3 linked regions of the Coturnix japonica genome follow. The protein of the gene in region 3 purifies or fractionates together with the protein of the main gene of each other region. This does not show direct contact. Links are inferred from orthologs where the notes say so. Each region holds a gene or a part of one and is shown on either strand. Other genes may lie near its edges. The genes, in order: ZDHHC5, CLDND1 and GOLGA7.

Region 1 (6,619 bases), on a different chromosome or scaffold from region 3:
GGAGGGGGCAGCGCTGTGCCCCGCAGCACCGCCCTACCCCCCCCACTCCCCCCGTCCCCGGTGCCTCTGAGCTCACCGCCTGCCGTGCTCCCCAATGCCGCTGTCCCCGGTGCCGGGGCGGGGCGGGGGCAGCAGACGGAGGTGGGGGGGAAGGGAGGGGAGAGCCGCGGTACGGGCACTGCATCACGGCGCCGTGACTCACTGCGCGACGTCACCGCACGGCGGCGACACGGCACCGATACGGCACCGACACGGCACCGATATGGCACCGATACGGTACCGACACGGCACAGATACGGCACCGATACGGTACCGATATGGCACCGACACGGCACCGCCAACACGGGCAGAGCTGAGGCCGCTCTGCCGGCTCCGTGCGCTTCCGAGCGGCCCCCGGGGCAGGAGGGGAGCGTGGGTCCCGTTGTGCCCGCGGCACACAGCGGGGCCGGGAGCGGTGAAACGGGGAGAGGCTGCGGGTGCGGCCCCCGATAGGAGCTGTACGGTGAGATACAGGCAGCACCGGGGGGCTGCCCGCAGAACCGGGCCCGGACTGCATCTCCCAGCACGCCCCATCCCGGTGATGGAGCGGGCTGCGCTACCACCTCAGTTCCGTCGCGTCCTGTGACGTAAGACGGCCCTGCTGCAGTCCGGGCTCCGTCCCGTGCTGCCCCGTCCCGTTCCCGGGGTCCAGCCGTGCCGCACTGCGCGGTGCGGTCGGGCCGGGCCATGGCGGATGATGGCGGCGATGAGAAGAAGCAGGTGGCAAAGTTCGAGCTGGAGCGGGAGACCGAGCTGCGCTTCGAAGTGGAGGCCTCGCAGACGGTGCAGATGGAGCTGCTGACCGGCATGGCCGAGGTGTTCGGCACCGAGCTGACCCGCAACAAGAAGTTCACGTTCGATGCCGGTGCCAAGGTGGCCGTGTTCACGTGGCACGGCTGCACCGTGCAGCTCAGCGGGCGCACCGAGGTGGCCTATGTCTCCAAGGACACCCCCATGCTGCTCTACCTCAACACACACACGGCCCTGGAGCAGATGAGGCGGCAGGCGGAGCGCGAGGACGAGCGGGGACCCCGCGTCATGGTGGTGGGCCCCACCGACGTGGGCAAGTCCACCGTGTGCCGCCTGCTGCTCAACTACGCCGTGCGCCTCGGCCGCCGGCCCACCTTCGTGGAGCTGGACGTGGGGCAGGGCTCCGTGTCCATCCCCGGCACCATGGGAGCCCTGTACATCGAGCGGCCGGCTGACGTGGAGGAGGGCTTCTCCCTGCAGGCCCCGCTGGTTTATCACTTTGGCTCCACCACACCCGGCACCAACATCAAGCTGTACAACAAGGTGAGTGTGTGGAGTCCCTGCTGTGTCACCTTGTGCTTGGCCCTGCTTGGAGCTCCAGGGTGTCTTGCCCGCCCCTGTGAGTCAGGGGTTGCCTATTGTATAAAACCGTGGTGCGATGCACCAACAAAAGCACGAAGGGTAAAAAGCTGGTCCAAATCCCCAGCGTCCTTCTCTGTCTGCAGTTTGGTGATGGTTAGGAGCCCCTATTTGGCTGAAGGTTGCCCTCAGCCACACGCTTGCCCTCGTCCTGTCTGTGCAACATTGGGATCAGCTCTGCTGATGTGGTCAAGCAGCCTTTAGTGCACGTAATGCACTTTATGGGCAGCTTCAGCACCAAATGCGGTTGCTGCCCCTCTGGGGCTATTAACTGGGAGGTGGGCAAGGAAGGATTTCAGCTCAAGTGACTGCCTGTGGCCCAGGCATTGCTTCTACCTCTTAGCACTAAATAAACCCACTGAGTGAGTTAGGAGCATTGCCTCTGATTGCTGTATCGCTAAGAATGGGACAGGTCCTCATCACATGGCCTCCAGCTGTGTGGATGCCTTGTGGGAATGGAAACATCCCTCTCAATCCCACATGCTTTATCCTCGTGTCCCAATATCTGCCTGCAGATCACATCCCGCCTGGCTGACGTCTTCAACCAGCGATGTGAAGTGAACCGTCGTGCGTCGGTCAGCGGCTGCGTCATCAACACATGCGGCTGGGTGAAAGGCTCTGGTTACCAGGCGCTGGTTCACGCTGCTTCGGCTTTTGAGGTAGATGTGGTGGTGGTGCTGGACCAGGAGCGGCTCTACAACGAGCTTAAGAGGGACCTGCCCCACTTTGTGCGCACTGTGCTGCTCCCCAAATCCGGTGGGGTGGTGGAGCGCTCCAAGGACTTCAGGCGGGAGTGCCGAGATGATCGCATCAGGGAGTATTTCTATGGCTTCCGGGGCTGCTTCTACCCCCACGCTTTCGATGTCAAGTTCTCTGATGTTAAGATCTACAAGGTGGGGGCTCCCACCATCCCCGACTCCTGCCTGCCGCTGGGCATGTCGCAGGAGGACAACCAGCTGAAGCTGGTGCCGGTGACTCCGGGTCGGGACATGGTGCATCACCTGCTGAGCGTCAGCATGGCCGACAGCCCCGACGACAACATCTCGGAGACCAGCGTGGCCGGCTTCATCGTGGTCACCGGGGTGGACCTGGAGCGCCAGGTGTTCACCGTGCTGTCTCCTGCCCCTCGCCCGCTGCCCAAGAACTTCCTGCTCATTATGGATATCCGCTTCATGGACCTCAAGTAGCTCCAGCAGGGATGGGGCAGGGGGGGACGTGCGGGATGGCCATGTGTGTCCTTGTACCACTTCTCATTGCCCAGCAGCTTCCATGCGCTGTGTTAGTGTGGGCACAGCTGGAGCAGGAGGCCATATGTTGTTTTTATATCCTTTTGTAACATTTGTTATTAAATTCATGTCTCTTTGGCTCTGTGCTGCTTGTTGCCTAGGCTGTAGGATGGAGGGATGGGCCCCTGGGTGCTGATCCCCTCTCCCCCCCGCCCCCCAGTGGCGCATGCGCGTGGCTGCTTCCCTTTTGGCGCATGCGCAGCGCGCTCCCCCGGCTCCTTCCAGTGTGTTCCCAGGCTCCGACCAATGAGGACGCGCTGCCGACGGGGCGGGACACGCATGCGCAGCCGTGACGTGGTGCCCATCCGCCGAGCGCTGCGCTCGCTCCGTGCCCGGTAGCGTTGGGCGCCGCCCGGGCCGCGCCGCAGTGTGGGTGAGTAACGCGGGATCCCCGCACGGCCCGTCCCGCTCTCGTCGCTCCCTTCTCCTCCCCTCATTGCCGGCCGTAGGGCCGCGGAGCCCCGGCCGCGCCGTGCCCCGGTGCCGCCTCCGAGCCCACGCCCGCCGCTTCACGGCTCGGCCGCTCCCGGCCCTGCCCGCCGCTTCCTCCCGGGCCCTGAGCGCTGACCCGGGAGTTGTTCGCGTCCTTCCGTGCGCGGGGCCGCGGAGCAGCGGCGTGTTGTGGGAGCGGCACTAAGGCCCGGCCGGTTCCGCCGCATTCGTAGGCAGGGACCTCGGTACAGCCACATCCAGCCCGGCTGGGGGCACCTGCCGCACTGCCTTCAGAGTAAAGAATTTCGCCTTATACTTAATCCAAATCTCCCCTCTTTTAGTTTAAAACCATCACTAGTCACACTCTGTCCTCACTGAAAGGCCCATTCCAGCTTTCCTGTAGCCTTTGTAGGTACTGGAAGGCCTCCTAGAGCCTGCTGTTCTCCAGGCTGACCAACCCATCTCCTTGCAGCCCTCAGCATCTGTGTGGAATCCCCTCTGACAGCTCCGTGTCCTTCTGGTGCTGGGAGCCCAGAGCTGCTTTGGAGGGTTGTGTGGTGCTGTGTTATGGAGGCTGGATGGTGGGGTAACAGAGTGCAGTTGTGCTCCTGAGTGCCATGAGGGTGGGCAGGGTTTGTGATTGAGGAGCAGACACTGGCACAGCAATGGCCTGTGTCAGGGTTTGGTTCTCGTGGCCCGTCAATGAGCAGAGGTTCAAGTCTCTGTGGCTGCAGGGCCCCGGCCCATGTGTTGCTGCCTTGTCCAGTGTGAAATTCCTCCTTGAAACACGCTTCCGCACGACGTTCTCCGGTGTTGGTGATGTAATGGGCTGTGCTGGCAGGTGTTCAGCCTGACTACTGCTAAGCAGCTCCAAATTATCAATGTGAAACGTGTTAATCCCAAGTTGTAGCTGAGCATACTGTTACATCTCCCTGAGATGACAGCAAAACCTCACAGTTCTTCCCTGCTCATCTCACTGGTTTAATGGGGAGACTCTGCCCTCCTGGTATCCATTACTGGTAGCTCCTTAGTATGTGATTGCTCCGCCATATGTCTGAACTGGATGCTTTGTAGGATCATCCTTCTTGCACTGATCTTTTCTGGGCTGTAAAACATGACTGCAGCCTTGTCTAGTTGGGAGTGAGGAGGTTGATCAACTTAGCGGGCTTAATCTAATCATCACCTCCAGTGAGGCGTTGTTCCTTAGCAGAGGACTTTGTTCTCATGGTTCCTGAGGTCAGGCAGGAGGTAACTGGGTGGAGCGGGGCCATCAGGAGACCTTCACCTCTCATTTTATACAAGGCTTTTTGTGGTGTTCCCCCCTTCTCCTGCTGCTGTTTCTTCTGCTGGTTGCTCCCTCTGAGCACCGGTGGTGGCAGGGCTGGGTTTGTGCATCGAGGAAGGTGCAGACACATTGGATGAGATTCTGTTCTTCCCTGCTTTGTCCGCAAAATGGGGCTAATCCCATGTAAACCGCTGAGATGGGCAGGGGAGGAATGGGAGCGATGTAAGCAAGGCCAGAGATAAGCACTGAGGGGTTGCTAGCCATGCTGGCTGCCTGCTCTGATGGTTTTGTGCTTTCCTTGGTAGCCTGCATCTCAGCAGCTGCTGCCTGGGTTGTTGTCTGTTGCAGGGATACCTCTTGCTCCTTGCTGTGCAGGGTTTATACAGTGAGCTCAGTGCAGAGGTGAGCTGGCTGGGACATGTTTCTCATCCTGTGAGTAGAAGGTGCCAAGGCGACTACGGATCCGGCCCTGGGATCACCTGCTTCATTCAGATCCTGTGTGCAGGCAGTGAAAACAAGGTGGGACCAGGTAGAGCACATCTTGTCTTTGTGTCGTCCCGGATCTGCCCTGATCGGGACTTGCATCACTCGGAAGGAATTGTTTGTCTCTTTGACCCGTGCTGGGGAAACTCAGCAGGACTGGTTTGGGGCAGGGAGGCAGCTGACGCACCACTGGAGCTCATAACTGAGAGTGAACTCTCTCCGCTCCGTGCCAGCTCCTTTCCCCGGGCGGTAACGAAAGGCAGGGTCGGGAAACCTTGTCACGTTGAGGCGCGCGCTTCCTTCTTCAAGGCTGGGAGTGCTTAGAGGAGCTGCGCTGCTTGTTGGCAGCGTTGGATGGCTCACGCATGGTGAGGAGTGTTTTCTTGTCCCATCTGATGCTTTGGAAAGATCAAGCCCTAAAGCAATACAGACTGTTGAGGCTGCGTGTGGATAGGTCGCTGGAAAGCAATGAGGTGGGGCAGTGGTGAGAAGGACAGGAGGAGCACGGAGCTTCAAGGAGCGAGTGCTGGAAATCAGACTCTTCAGGTTCTCAGCTGAAGAAAAGGCAGCGTGGACTAAAAGAGAAGCGTAAGGTGGCAGCGGTGGCGTTCGGAAGCATCCTGAGGGAAGGAATGGAGGATTTGGTGGAGTCCTCAGAAGCTGAGCGGAGATGGAGGTTGGACCCTCACATGGGTGGAGGGAAGCACATAAATAGGGAATGAGAATATGGGTGTGGGGAAATGGGGGCATTGGGACGAGCTCAGGGAGCAGCTGAGCTGCCTTGCCAGGCAGTAAGGCCAGCTGTGGGATGGGAGTATCAGTGAGGCAGGGGCTGAGTTGGGGACCCTCTGATGAACCTGGGCTCTCCCTTGGGTGTGGGATACCTGGGGTTGTGCTGGATAAGATGAACCAGGGGGAAAAACACAACAGAGGAAGAGGTGCCAGGGTTGGGAAAACAGGCAGAAATGCCAGAGGAGAGGGAAAATGGAGTAATCGGTGACACACAAGCCTAGTAAAGCTTGAATGGGAGGAGGAAGGAGTAGGGCAGGTCCTGAGAAGTATGGAAGGGAGGAGCTGCTGGGCTGGAAGAGGCGGAGAAGGGATCAGGATGGGAGCAGAGCACATACATTCCTCAGGTGAGTTGCGGTGGGGATAAAAGGTTTGGGAGGAAAAAAGGAGAGACTGAGGGTGGGCAGAGGTATAGCAGGAGAGATTGTCTGTTTGGGGTAATTGGTGTGTTACGTGGTCTGAATCGGTATAATCTGTGGGAAGGCAGGGTGGGTCCTGCATGTAGTTTGTGTTTCTCTAGGACATCAGTGTAAGTGATAAGAATGGTCGAGTTTCAGCATCATTTAGCCCCCAAGAAAAGAGAAGATACCTTAAGATTACGCTGCTGAGATCCCAGCCTGCAGTGCCACACCACACAGCGATTCAGGTGCAAACCAGGCTGCAGGAGGGCTGGACCTTGGACACACAGGTGCCCAAGCTGTAGTTTGCATATAAAGACAGGATTCTTCAGCAGAGAGCATTTGGGCACTGGAACAGCCTCCCCTTGGCAGTGGTCACAGACCCAAGCTGCCAGAACTCAAGGAGCATTTGGACAACGCTTTCCAACACAGGGCCTGAGTTTTGGAGCTAGGATTTGGACTCGGTGATGCTTTTGGGTCCCTTCCAACTCAGGATAGTCTGTGTTTCTGTCTTTACT
Region 2 (6,426 bases), on a different chromosome or scaffold from region 3:
AGAAGAGTAATAAACTAAGAGCTGATCATGGTTTCCTTATGCTATGGTAAGTACATTGGGATCATTAGGGAATTTTTATCATTGGTTAGGGAAAGTAAATGAATTCCCTTATTTCACTTCCTTCATGCGTATTTTGTATGTCAGCCTGCTTGAACCTTGCTGCTAACAGCAGGTAGTACATGGTGGTACTGGTTATCATCTCAACAAACTAAGCTATACAGTCAGCTCACCATTTCTCCAAAATTGCATATAGAATAAATTCACTATGAGTCTCAGGTGAAGGGGGACGACAACGGGTGGTGACAATCCCCCATTATTCCCCCTATAAGAAGTCCAAGTTAATTAAAAAACAAAAAACAAACAAACAAAACCCAGCAGAAATAATGGAAATCAGCTCAAGTGATGCACTGGTAGTTGAACACTTATGCGCAGACAGAAAATGAAACTATAGCTCCAGTAAAACTACAGTGCCACTCCAGAGCGAACAAGTAGCAGAGAGAAACTACAGCTGTGAAATTAAATGAATGAAATTAGTGAAGAGGTTGCTGAAGTAATGGAAATTCTGACTGATACCGTACCAGCCTGATATGCCAATTGACCGACAAAAAGAACAAACATTAAGTAACAGACCTAAGGGACTTATGAGACATAGCTTTGAGTGAACCAGTGCTAGTGAGACAGTTCAGCTGAGGAATTGAGAACACAATAATAGAATGAAAATCCCACAGGATCCTCCCACAGGATCCAGCATCTGCTAATCATGTCAGTTGACAAACAAAGAAAACAAAAACAAATAGCTGATATAAAGGAAACAACAAAAAAACAAACCATGGTGTAACAGTAACAGTTGGACTCTTCATCTGACAGACCTCCCTTGTGATACACTGGCAGATCTGATCCATCAATTTGGCAGTCATCGCCCACACTGAATCTGCACCTGTCAGACACTTCAGCTGTCAAAGAAAGTAAGCTGTAAACAACAACAGAAACAGCAACAAAAAGATATTTAAGGGACTTAATTGACCCAGGACATCTGTAGTGTAAACCAGCATCAGGACGCAGAGTTGTCTGAGAAAGGAAAGTAACAGCAACGACAGTAAAAAGCACCAGAATAATGGAAATATGCAGTGTGATCCCACACCTAGGAATGGCGTACAGGATCTGTTTTAAATGAGAAACCGCAGCAGACTGCCGTTCCAGGGATGTTACAGCAATCTTCAGTGTGAACCAGCATCAGGGAATGCAGTGCAGGTTCTGTCAGTAGGGGGAAACAGCCTTGAACATCATTAGGTCTTACCTACCTGAGCCATGCAGGAGCTTCTTAATTGTTCCATAAATTCCCATCAAACTAGTGTGAGTTCATAAACTGCAGCTACAACATCTGTATTTTCTCAGATTATGCAAGGAAGTATCAGAGCTCCTCTCATCAGGCTCAGATAGACTTGGAGTTTGCAGAAAATCATTTTAATTGGCGAGATGACGAAGTATTGGACAGCAAGACTTTCTGAACTTCGATCTTGGTTTTCAGAATCACGCATGTGCTTATCTCTGTTCACTTTGTAAAGACAGCAGCAATGCTAGAAGGAGAAGTGGGCTGTTCTCTACCACAAACCAGAAATAGTACTTTAGAAACTATACTAACAAGGTCCCTGATCTTCAAGGAACCAGCAAACACCTATTCAAACAAAAGACAACAGCAGAGAGACAACGTGCCAACTTCCATGTCATCCCCATCAGTAGTAAGTCACAGAACCCTTGATAACAGTGTCATTCCTTTTTAGGATTCATTTCTTCTAAAACACGTTTCCTATACTGAGCACAAAGCAAGGAACTGAGAGGAGTTAAGCCTTCAGAATTAAACAATTTAGTCTTGGAACACTTTTCTAGGCAAGACTGGCCACCCAGCCTGGACAAAAATGCAGTAACTTAGAAGAAACACATGCAAAGACTGGGAGCTCATTAGAACTGAAATGGGTATGCATCCCTCCGGTGTCAAATGTGTTAGAAAGGCTTCAAGAATAACAAACCTAACAAAGTGTCTTTGTTTCTGGTGATATTTCCGACTACAGAGATGCACAGTCCCACCCCAACCCCCACTCCCATCATTCTAGAACATTCCCTCCCTATCCCAACAAATTCACACATCAAAAGTTTGAGGACTGTTTTATTCCACTTAAACAACAGATTTGGGGCAAGGTGGGAATTGAGAAGCACCTTTAAAAAAAAAAAATCCTATTATGTATTACGTAGGTAAAATAAGAGTTTTACAAAAGTTTATATTATGTACATATACACACATACACTAAATCAAATTCAGAGTTAAAAAGGTCGTAAAGGTTTGCCTTTGATACAACAGGAGAGAGGAAAGCCTTATTTCACAGCAAGCAAAAAGCACAAGTTAAGATTACAGTGCACAAACACACGTAGTGCAGGTACCTGGAAGCAGCGTACCTAGAGTAGCACAAACTTCCACATAGGCAAACTTCTCCTCTTCCACAGCAAAAGCAGCACAGATTCTCTGTCTAGGGGAATGTGCTACGCAACCACTCACATAGCCAGCTGCTCTGCTTACGTCAGTTTTGGCAGAAGCCATAGAAAGTAACAAACTAGCAAGAATAAGAGACCTAAAGCTAAGCTACAGCACTGATTTAACTACAGCACTTCCACTGCTTTTTGTCTGCTCTAAGGCCTATGGAGAGTGCCCAACCCATGATTTATTATTTGTGCTCTCTAGTTCCCATTCTTGCCTACCTGCACCTTTTCCTATCTCACTTCCACATCACAATGCCTTTCCTATTTCCTCCAGGCTGACAGGATAATAAAATTAAGAAGAGATACACATTTAACTAAGGGGATATTCAAAGAAAAATCAACCAAAGAAATCTTAAAAATATATATATTAAAAATTGTTTTTAGAAACTAAGTTCTGCAAACTTCTGGCAAAGTCTGGTCATTTAGCCCAAAGGTCTTTGTCTTCAGGGCCTGCAGGTTTTTCTGTTTCAACTGGCAAATAGCGAGCAGTACAAGCCCAAATTCCTGTCTGAAAGAACAATAAAAGTAATAAAGGGTGAGGGGAGTCTCTTACATGGAAACCTAATACTGGGGTAGCAGCACTTACTATGCTACACGGTATGCTTTCAAGAGAGTGAATTCCTTTCTGTTGGTGCGAGCTGCCCAGATGAAAAGAGCAGCTGCCATAAACTGCAAAGGTGCTGAGACGCAGGCCAGGCAGAAGGACCAGCCAAATTCACCCCTCACGTCACCAGGTAGGGGCAGCTTCTTATGAAGCAGTTCAATCCCAGCTACATAGCAGCCAACCAGGCCCAGTGTACAAAGTCCTGGGGGAAGCAGAAGAAAAGTGCAGTTAGTTCATTGCTGAAGTGCTCTGGCTGTCACTAAGAGCTTATAGCGGAGGGAGAGTAAGTGGTGGATGGCAGAGGACCTACCTGCAAGAAAATGGAGGACTCCAGTGGCAATGGCAGGGTACAGGCTGCGACAGGCGCACGCACAGAGCCCAATCAGAGCTCCAAAGCACATAAGACCAAGGCTAACAAATGGCAGGAGAAACTGCAATCGCCAGAGATCTGCACATTAAAGAAACACAGACACCAGGTTTATTGAACTGACCTTCTCCACCATGCTGTGTTCCTTTCCACCCACACTCCTTCACTGGTTTAGCTAAAAAGGTCAAAAAGCTCCACCAAAGTAGAAAGAACTTTAGACTTCCAAACTCCTGTAGAATACTCATGGCCAAAGTTGTTGCTAGAGCATCTAAGTTTTCCTTTAAAGCTTTGACCTACTACTTGTAAAACAAACAAAGAAACCAACAAACTGCAGAGCAAGATGCAGATGCTGTCTCACCAGTGACTGCATTTGGGAAACCCCATTATTTTTCTTTTTTGTTTTTTAGATCCCACTGTTTTTACCTGCAAGATGTGAAAGACACTTACAAGTCCGATTCAAATCTGTGCCACTGTTGTGATTTCCAGGCTCTATGTACTTCTCCATAAACTGATCGGAGAGGGAAAAACTGATGCAGTTTGTAGTCATATCAGTTTCTGGAACAACGACAACAACCAGACAACTGCCATTAGCTTTTTCCAACTCCCCTTCTTCATTCAATTCTCTTAAGCATTTAAACTGTCCAAGTACAACTTCAGACTAAGAAAAAAAATACTTCCCAAAACAATTTTGTAGGATATCTTGATAGTAACGATAAAGTAGTTAGCACAAGGCATAACATTATACATGCAGAATTTCCACCACACTTCTTTAAAGCAACCAACATTTGTCCAAGTTTGTCATTCTATCTCTAACAGCTCCAAAATCTGCTGGTGTCACAGTGGGGCATTTGTGACACATGAGGAAAACAAATAACCATCTAAAAGGAGCAAGTGTTGTCTTGCTAAAGTAGTTAGTTTGATTTCCCCTCCCCTTTGATCCCACAGACAGAGGATAACTAGCAGAGCCATAATAACCGTATCACCTGTTGTGCAGCAGGTGCAAAAGAACTCCCACCAACCTAAGTTACAGCAGACTAAATTCAGATAACATACAATATACCAAATTCAGATTCTGTAGCATTGACAGAGATATTTCCCATATCACTCCTTTAGAAGTTTACATTGCCATTATTAAAAAGTAAACATACGAGTTAGAAATAAGCTTCCCGAGTGAAGAAAGTGAAGTGTGAATTAGTCCAGAGATACCTGGTGGGCTGTACCAGTGAGAGTTTTTGGGTACAGTAATGCACCTCCTCCACAACCCAACGGTGCCGTTGCATCGGAATAGTGCATCTGTGTAGGTCTTCTCATCTGCCTCTTCACTGACAAATTCTTCCCAGATGCTCCTGCCGGCTTCAGTAATGTTCTCAGCAGGGGACAGAGTATGATACTCATACCAGAAATCAGTACCCAAGGAAGCTGCCATATATATGGTGGAGATGAGGCTGAGAACACATGCAATTACCAGCGCTGTAGCAAAACGGTTATCCATCATTGCTGCTGAAATAAGAAAGAAGGTCCAAGTGAGTAACTCCTCTGATGCTAAATATGAAGTTATCTTAGCAGTGTCAGCCTCAGTACATCATTCCCGTTATGCAATGTTTCTTTAGGATATGCATCTTTTCTAAGATGCCAGAAGCACATAAATGCTATGTCTACAGTACTACTCCATACTCACTGGATCTGTGAATTCAAGGCACAGGTATCTCTCTTCTCCCAGCCTCTATACATCACCCTGAGAGAGAAACAGCAATTCTGCCCCCAAAGCAGGTGACACAGCTCACTGGCACTTCTGATCTTGACTGTAGGCAACCACAGAAAGCAGAAAAAACCAACTAGAGCTCTCAGAAGATTTACCTTTCCTTAAAGAGATTAGCAAGGGAAGAAGCTATTTTTAGCCTGCCGCCCCATATGACTTTCACAGCTTGTGTTGACAGCAAAGGTAAGAACCACACAGATACCAAATAGCCTCTTCCAGACTATTCACAAGGGGCGGCCATGCCAAAATGCCAGAATGCCTTTAAGAAAACTATCAAGTATCACTAGGCACCAGAGATATAACACAAAGGAAGCAGGGAAGGACAAGTACGGAAATCCAATAAATGCTGAGATAACACAACAGCATATGCAGAGGCATTTCTGAAGAGCTAAAATGTTTCCAAGGGAATGCCCTGTTACATGGGCATTAGATGACAGTATCTTCCAAAGCTGAAATACCTTCACGTACCACCAGGAGGATCTTGCTCTGGCTCCAAGAGGTAATTAAGGTCCTCCTTCACAGGCCCACATAAAAGCACAAACTCATGGGTGAAGGCAGCACAGGAAAAAAACTGATATGACATGCACTTACGTTTGGACAATACTGTGATTACAGTGAATAACCGATTGCTAATACACAATATTTTGTAGATACTGTGATATGTCAGAAGACTTTGAAGTGTTTGATGTGTCTGCGGTGCTCAATTAAATCTATGGATAACAATAAATAGGGCTTGATGATCTCGCCAAATGAAATATCAACTGAAGTCACTTCTGCATCTAGAGCTGTTCTGGTGTTATGAACTACCATACAATCTAATCAGTTCTTCTTTACTGCTCATTTTATCTTCCATCCCCCACAAATCTTAATCAAAATATGTATGTTTGATTTTATTTTAGTCTAGCTCCTTTGAAGTTGAATGAATTGGGAACAGCAAATGCCTAAACATAGAACATTCACAAGGAAAAAGAAAAGTCAGCGCTCAAGTCAGATGTGCCAACACTAATTTCTAAACTAAGAAACAAGGTGCAAAATAAGCAGGGAGTTTCAAAGGCACCAATATCTACTGTTAACTATGCCCTTCTCATTTCTTTTCCCTCCTACCTGCTCCTCTACTTGGTTCAAACTGGCCAATGGAGTTGGGAGTGAGATTACTTATACTTA
Region 3 (6,492 bases):
GCGCAGGCGCACAGCGCGACCCGGATGTTCTGCACTAGCGCAGGCGCAAGCCATGACAAAATGGCGGCCGTAGGGGGTGCAGCAGTGCGGCCCTGCTAGGCCTTGTGGATGTGCTTTTAGCATCAAAACACCTCAAAACAGCGCGACTGAACAGGCCACAGACACGGTTTAAGAAAAAATTTACTGATCCATTAGTACTTCTGCCAGTATCGCAACAAACATGAAAGGCAACCACAGCTTAGAAAACAAGTTTTATACAGTTAGAATATTAAATTAAAACAAAAAACCCCACAAAACAGAAGTTACTGGCTGAGGAACAAGGCTGGAATTTCAGACGCAGTAGCACCTACAGCACCACCAAAAGCCAAAACACTCCATCTCTCCTATATTATTCCTAAGCTCTTGAATTCCTTCTATAATTGGATCATGGCTCAATTCTGAACATATTTTTCCTTGAGAAGAGCAAAGAGAAAAGAATGAACCCAAACCTGGTTCCTAGGAACGTGCTTTAGGTATTGCTGAGGAATGTCAATGCAAAAAGAGAGGAAATAACACACAGCTCAATAGTGCGCCAGCAGGCAAAGAGTGATGAGACCATCCCACACAACAGCTCTGTCGAATCAGTGTTTTCCTATAAGTTATAATAAATTCATAAAGAAACAGTTTTACACTTCACGTATTAATCAGAGAAGGGGAAGAGTTATGTTTATTGGTTCAGCATCCATTTTATTGTACTTCCTGTTTTATAGACTCTCCCTCTTCTGCTCAGCACTGACATACAACAGCACATACACAGCAGTAGAAAAAACACCAGGAATAAAGTCCCTCTCTTCTAGGAATAACCAAAACATTAAAACGAGAAACATTTTTTGCCTTCTAGTTTTTCCATAAGAATCAGTACAGGACGCTTCCAACGCTCATTGCCTTGAGTCATTTTGCACTGGGAAGAGGCACTGCGTATCCCCTCACTGCAATACTGACCTCGAGGGAAAGCCTTTCTTCTGGAAAATTCCACTCTGACTTGTAGGTTTCCAAAGCCCAATCAGAAAGATTTAAGAAGTGGGGAGGAACGGCACCACATTTACATGACTAGAGCCAACTTCTGTTGGGTTAATGCGGTTCTGTCAGAAGAATATGCAGCTTCACCACTTCTGCGTTTCCTTTAGGAACTTAAAAGTGATCTCAAGGCTCAATAATTCGCCACAAAATGAATGCTGACCAGCTGGGTCACACCACGTGGAGTAGTTTTAGGAAGTCAGTCCCTGTAGAAAATGGCACTGTGGATCTGGCAGCAGAAAGAGGAATGATGCTCTAAAGTAGGAGGTAGGGGAACTGATACAGCAAGTCCACTGTTGAGCTGTCTGCTAGAAAAGAAGTTACATGTTAGAACTGATTGCCAGGCAAAATACAAGGTGATTCTTAACATGGGTTATGACCTTTTCATAGATGCTTTAAACACAAAAGCTTTTAGGTACCTCTAAAAACATTCAAGAAAAGCTGCATCTTTCACAGCATAATAGGAAGAACAGTAAAGCACCATCAATTAGGAAGTATTACTTCTCAGAAAGGGTAGAGACTTATGCCAGAAAAGCTTTGTGAAAAATCAAGACTCTTCAAATACAGAAAGCCATTCTGGGCTTGATACAGTGCAAGTTCAGTTTATGTATATTTTACCAAATTCCAATCTTGACTGTTTAAGTCAAATCTGTTATTGTTTGAACTGAGAGTAGCATGAAATTAACCACACATTCAGAAAACCTACACCACACAAGACTTAAGTAAAAAGTCATTGATGACATGCAGTAGCTGGATAAACATTCTGTTTCAGCAGAAGAGTCTACCACTCTGAGCACCATAAAGGAAGCTGAGATTGGCATCTACTGTAATGCTGATATGTACCTGAGACTCCACAGTTTTATCTTCCACTGCTCATGCCTCTGTCTTCATAAATGGTAATTTCAATCTGTGTAGAAAGGCTGTTAGGAAAATATACTATAAGAAGTTTACAAAAATGAAAGTGAAAAAATCATTATGATATTAGAACTTTTGATCTTTCTGCTTCATAGCTGCTTACTCAAGAGCTACAAAACAAACACAACAGCTCACCTGCCTTGTCAGATCAGATCGACCTATGGCAGCTCAGGATTGTTCTGACAACAAGAACACAAGATGCTGCATACAAAGAGCTTGTGAACCTTGCCATCTCCTCCTAAATCTCAGCAAAAGCTCCACAACAGGGCAGAAATAAACTTATCTGCTCAAAGAACAGCACATACCTGAGAGTAACAAGACTGATCATGTATTTCGCAGTATCACAGATCAAGCATGACTAGAGGATACCATATTATTAAAGAATTAAGAAATAATCTTAGAAACCACACAAGGATACAACTCTTAGTCCTCTTTCAATGGGATCGGTCAGAAGGAGGCCCTGAGGAGCATAGATCTTCTCGTTCTGTTCCTGAATGAACTTGGCAATTTTCTTTAGAACCTGATAATAGAACAGCAGGGAAGTCACAGTTTATTCACTAGGAGAGTGGTTAGGCCCTGGAACAGGCTGCCCAGGGAGGCTGTGGATGCCCCATCCTTGGAGGTGTTCATGACCAGGTTGGACAGGGCCCTGGGCAACCTGATCTAGTAAAGGCGTATGTTTGGTGGCCCTGCTAGGCAGGGGGGTTGGAACTACATGATCCTTGAGGTCCTTTCCAACCCAGGTCATTCTGTGATTCTGTGATTTATGAAACTAGATTTCTTAATTAAGTTTTCCCGTCTTAGAGCCATAGCTCAGCAATACCACCGATATAACAATATTAGGAGAACCCAGCATGAGAGCACCGATACCCACCAGAGACAGAAACTGTTCTGTACAGAAAATGTTACACTGCTCAGGTAACTCATATATCAGACGGACTTGTCTGTAGATGTTAAGTCACCCCGTAGTAAGATCCAGAGTCTATATGGAATTCATACAACTGAGGTACAAGTCACAGAAAACCCACCAGGAAATAAAGCATCTGAAGTCTGTAGGATATACCACTTTCTAAGAAAGAAGGAAAACAAAAGAAACCTACCTTTTCATAATGTGTTTCCATGCACAAGAAGATAGTATAGGCAGTCAGACAGGCCAGACACCCCTCAAGGTATGACTGGCCCCCAAGCTTCTCAGCTTCAGCATAAAGGTTATTCAGTGTCCGGACAGTCTCTTCAAACTGCTGCCTATCGATCTGAAAGAGAAATCAGGTTTAACCAGCACAGCTCAGAACTCAGCAGTACCTTCTAATAACAGCCCTTGCTTGTTTTTATTCCCACTTTGTCTTTTTTCCCCCCTCCCCATAGTAATATCACCTACTGCCATCTTCCACTTAGGTGTGCTCAAAGTGTGGAGGGTGCTGTGAGTTACAGGCCTGAAACTCTTTGTTGTGATGTTGTTATATCAAGCCTGAATTGTAATTGTATCATTGTTGTTATATCAAGCCTGAATTGCAACACAACCTGAACACAAAGCATTTAAAGGAACTGTAATTCCACCAACAAACAAAAGCAGCTTCCTTAACACACAACGGGCTGCTAGAGCATGAGAGACAAGCAGTAATTCCTTAGTGCTTCATGCAGCACTGTCCATGGGGGGGGTCTGTAAAGCAATACAATGGCGGGGGGGTAAATATAAAGCACGGGATCCGCTTTACCCGGTTCTCCAGCTCGGCCGGGAACTTGCTCTGGAACTGACAGCGGGTCCCCCCGCTGTAATCACGCTGGATGAACACTTTGCCCGACACGGGCGCTTGTTGCGGCCTCATGGCACCGCGGCCGCCTCGCTCCGCTCCTCCGGGCTCCGCCGCTCCGTTCACACCGCGCTAAACGCGTCCGGTCAGCTCCGGGCCAAGGAAAAGGCGGAAGCGATATTCCGCGCATGCGCCGTCGCCCCCATCAGGCCCAGAGAGAGAGACAGTGCGCATGCGCACGCGCCGGAGCGAAACAGAGCGTCAAGCTCACGCATGAGCACTCGCTACCCGTCCCACCAATCGCAGCTGACGCACAGCACTCGTGACCTCACGCACACCCCCTGACGTCCGTAGAGTGGTACAGCCCCGCTCCCCCCCGCTTGCAGATCACATGGCACAGTCCGGATACGCCCCCTCGCCGCGCCCCGCCTATCCGCGCATGCGCGCTGAGAGCGGTCTCTAGTCATATATATAGGGCGTATAAAACGCTGTGTGAATTGGAAGGGAGATTCAATGCGTTATCAATGGGAGGGGTGTTTGTAAGTACAGATGTAGGATGGGGATCCAGAGCCTGGGTTCAGACACATACAGTGACCCCTGGTTGGGTGCTGGGTGTCCATTGGGACACCGAGCACCCACTGCACAGCAGTGACTGCTGGATCTGGATGGATCCTGCCTTATAAGAGCAGAGCCTTGCTTTGCTAACAAAGCAGTTCTGCATTGGGATATCTCTTGGCTGGTGTAACTTCATCCCTCCATAGGGAGGTGTTATGTTATGAGTTTGGGTTGTAGCTGTTATGAGTTTGGTACAAGGGCTTGCAGCTGTTGGGTAGCAATGGGTGGATGAGGTTTGTGAGGCTGCAGGTTACCCCTATCCCACAGAATGTAACTAATTCCAAAGGGAGCAGAGTTCTGAACAAAGCAGGCAAAATGTGCATGTACTGAGGTCAATGGGAAGCTAAAGCTACGTTAATCAGGCCTTAATGCAAGGGCAGTTAATGGCTGAGGCATCGTGCTGGTGGTCAGGGTTATTCTCCAGCACCCCATGCCTCCAAAGCCCCAAGTGCTGGAGTGCTGCGTGGGCTCTGATCTGTAGGGTTCAATGCTTTGCTGAGATTGATGAAGCGTTTGTTGTCCCCTGCCGACCACGCCACAAATCAACACGGAGGAAACAAATACAAGAATGATTTATTGGGTTTAGTTTTAACAGGGCATAATAAGCAGCCGCCGTGTCACGCTCCAGACAAAACTAACAATGTTGTGATGATAAAAGACAGTAAACAGAGCTGTCAGTGTCCCCAGCACACAGCCCAGGGGTGGCAGCTAGGGAAGAGGCACCCCTCTAGCCCAAAGGAGGGCTCTTCTTTGTGCTAAGCAGTTTGCAAATGTGATAATGACACCTTTAAATTGCTCGGGGAGGAGATAAAAAGGAAACAGAGAAAAATACAAATAGAGATCTGACATTAGAGATCTAAATGTAATCTGAGTGCTGAGTGTCCCAGGAACCCGGCTATCAGCTGCTGTGATCTCTGTGCACCCCCCTCCTGTCCCCCCCCCCCCCTCCAATAGGAGCAGCCTGAACTAATTAACCCTCTAGCACTCCATAATGAAGACTAATAAACACCTAGTGGGTCTGCTTGAACAAACAACCCCTGTGCCTTGTGCAGGAAGCGCCCAGTCAGTTGGAGCAGCGTGGGGACAAAATGTGGCATGAGCTGAGCCCCCATTCCTGCAGCCCATTCCCCATTGCCTGCCTGAAAGTCCTCTCAGGAATGATCTGCTTCAAATGCTGCACCAGATGGAATGCGTTTCCTTAACCTTTAGCTGCTTGCAATGTGAAAGCAGTTAAGATTGTGATGTTAAAATTGTTTCAGATGTTTTATGTGCATATGAAATATTCTAGAAGGATGAATGCAAACTTTGATCCAGCTACGATTTTACTGGAGTTTATAGAAACAAAAAATATCTATTTTCAGGGTGTCTGGATCTTCAGGTACAGATACCCACTGTTGAGTTTTTGGAGTGAAAAAAGCTGGCAAATGCTGTAACCAGAGGGAACCTCCTGGGTTTGCTGACCTAACATGGAGGCTGAACCTGGAAATGGTAACCATGTAATCATAGAATTACTCAGGTTGGGAAAGACCTCAAAGATCATCAAGTCCAACCGCAGCCTAACCATAGTACCTTAACTCTAACAACCCTATGCTAAATCATATCTCTGAGCACCACATCCAAATGGCTCTTATACACATCCAGGGGTGGCAACTCAACCACCTCTCTGGGGAGCCTATTCCAGTGTTTAACTTCCCTTTCTGTAAAGAAGTGTTTCCTAACTTCCAACCTAAACTTACCTGGGTGCAACTTGAGGCCATTTCCCCTCGTCCTGTCAACAGTGAGAAGAGACCAGCCCCGCTCTCACTGTAAGCACTTTAAGTTACTGGAGGAGAGCAATCAGGTTTCCCTTCAGCCTCCTTTTCCACAGCCCCAGCTCCCTCAGCTTCTCCTCATAGGGCCAATTTTCCAAGCCCTTCACAAGCCTCATTGCCCTTCTCTGGACCTGCTCCAATACCTCCATGTCCTTTTTGTACTGAGGTGCCCAACACTGAATGTGTAATGTGCCTCTTTCTGAAAGATCCATTCACTGTTTCAGTGTTTTATGACACCAAGCGTAAGAAGTTCGTAATTTTAACAGCTTATTCCAATGCACCATCTCTAAATCAGAACAAGCGTGTTAAACTTATATAGCGAGCGTGCATGAAATACTAAAGAA

Evidence for each region.
Region 1: the proteins of GOLGA7 (region 3) and ZDHHC5 purify together in Homo sapiens (co-immunoprecipitation; 3 studies listed by BioGRID and IntAct, with this or other methods). This does not show direct contact. The link is inferred for Coturnix japonica from reciprocal best matches to the Homo sapiens genes GOLGA7 and ZDHHC5.
Region 2: the proteins of GOLGA7 (region 3) and CLDND1 purify together in Homo sapiens (affinity purification with mass spectrometry; 3 studies listed by BioGRID and IntAct, counting the BioPlex papers as one, with this or other methods). This does not show direct contact. The link is inferred for Coturnix japonica from reciprocal best matches to the Homo sapiens genes GOLGA7 and CLDND1.

The regions. Positions count from the first base shown.
Region 1 is NC_029520.1:7,786,059-7,792,677, forward strand, and holds the start of ZDHHC5 (palmitoyltransferase ZDHHC5), read left to right. Parts: upstream 1-2,962; 5' UTR 2,963-3,087; intron 3,088-6,619. Other genes in the region: YPEL4 (protein yippee-like 4), read right to left, coding at 1-184; polyribonucleotide 5'-hydroxyl-kinase Clp1, read left to right, coding at 727-1,332, 1,944-2,615. UniProt on the Homo sapiens protein: Palmitoyltransferase that catalyzes the addition of palmitate onto various protein substrates such as CTNND2, CD36, GSDMD, NLRP3, NOD1, NOD2, STAT3 and S1PR1 thus plays a role in various biological processes including cell adhesion, inflammation, fatty acid uptake, bacterial sensing or cardiac functions.
Region 2 is NC_029516.1:74,504,108-74,510,533, forward strand, and holds the end of CLDND1 (claudin domain-containing protein 1), read right to left. Parts: intron 5,004-6,426; 5' UTR 4,999-5,003; coding exon 4,710-4,998; intron 4,059-4,709; coding exon 3,951-4,058; intron 3,585-3,950; coding exon 3,447-3,584; intron 3,339-3,446; coding exon 3,118-3,338; 3' UTR 3,041-3,117; coding exon of another isoform or gene 3,040-3,040; 3' UTR 2,147-3,039; downstream 1-2,146. UniProt on the Homo sapiens protein: Plays a role in negatively regulating the permeability of cells to small molecules.
Region 3 is NC_029537.1:3,952,433-3,958,924, reverse strand, and holds GOLGA7 (golgin subfamily A member 7), read right to left. Parts: upstream 3,987-6,492; 5' UTR 3,798-3,986; coding exon 3,687-3,797; intron 3,225-3,686; coding exon 3,072-3,224; intron 2,492-3,071; coding exon 2,390-2,491; intron 1,964-2,389; coding exon 1,916-1,963; 3' UTR 1,900-1,915; intron 1,365-1,899; exon of another isoform or gene 1,362-1,364; 3' UTR 163-1,361; downstream 1-162. UniProt on the Homo sapiens protein: May be involved in protein transport from Golgi to cell surface. The ZDHHC9-GOLGA7 complex is a palmitoyltransferase specific for HRAS and NRAS.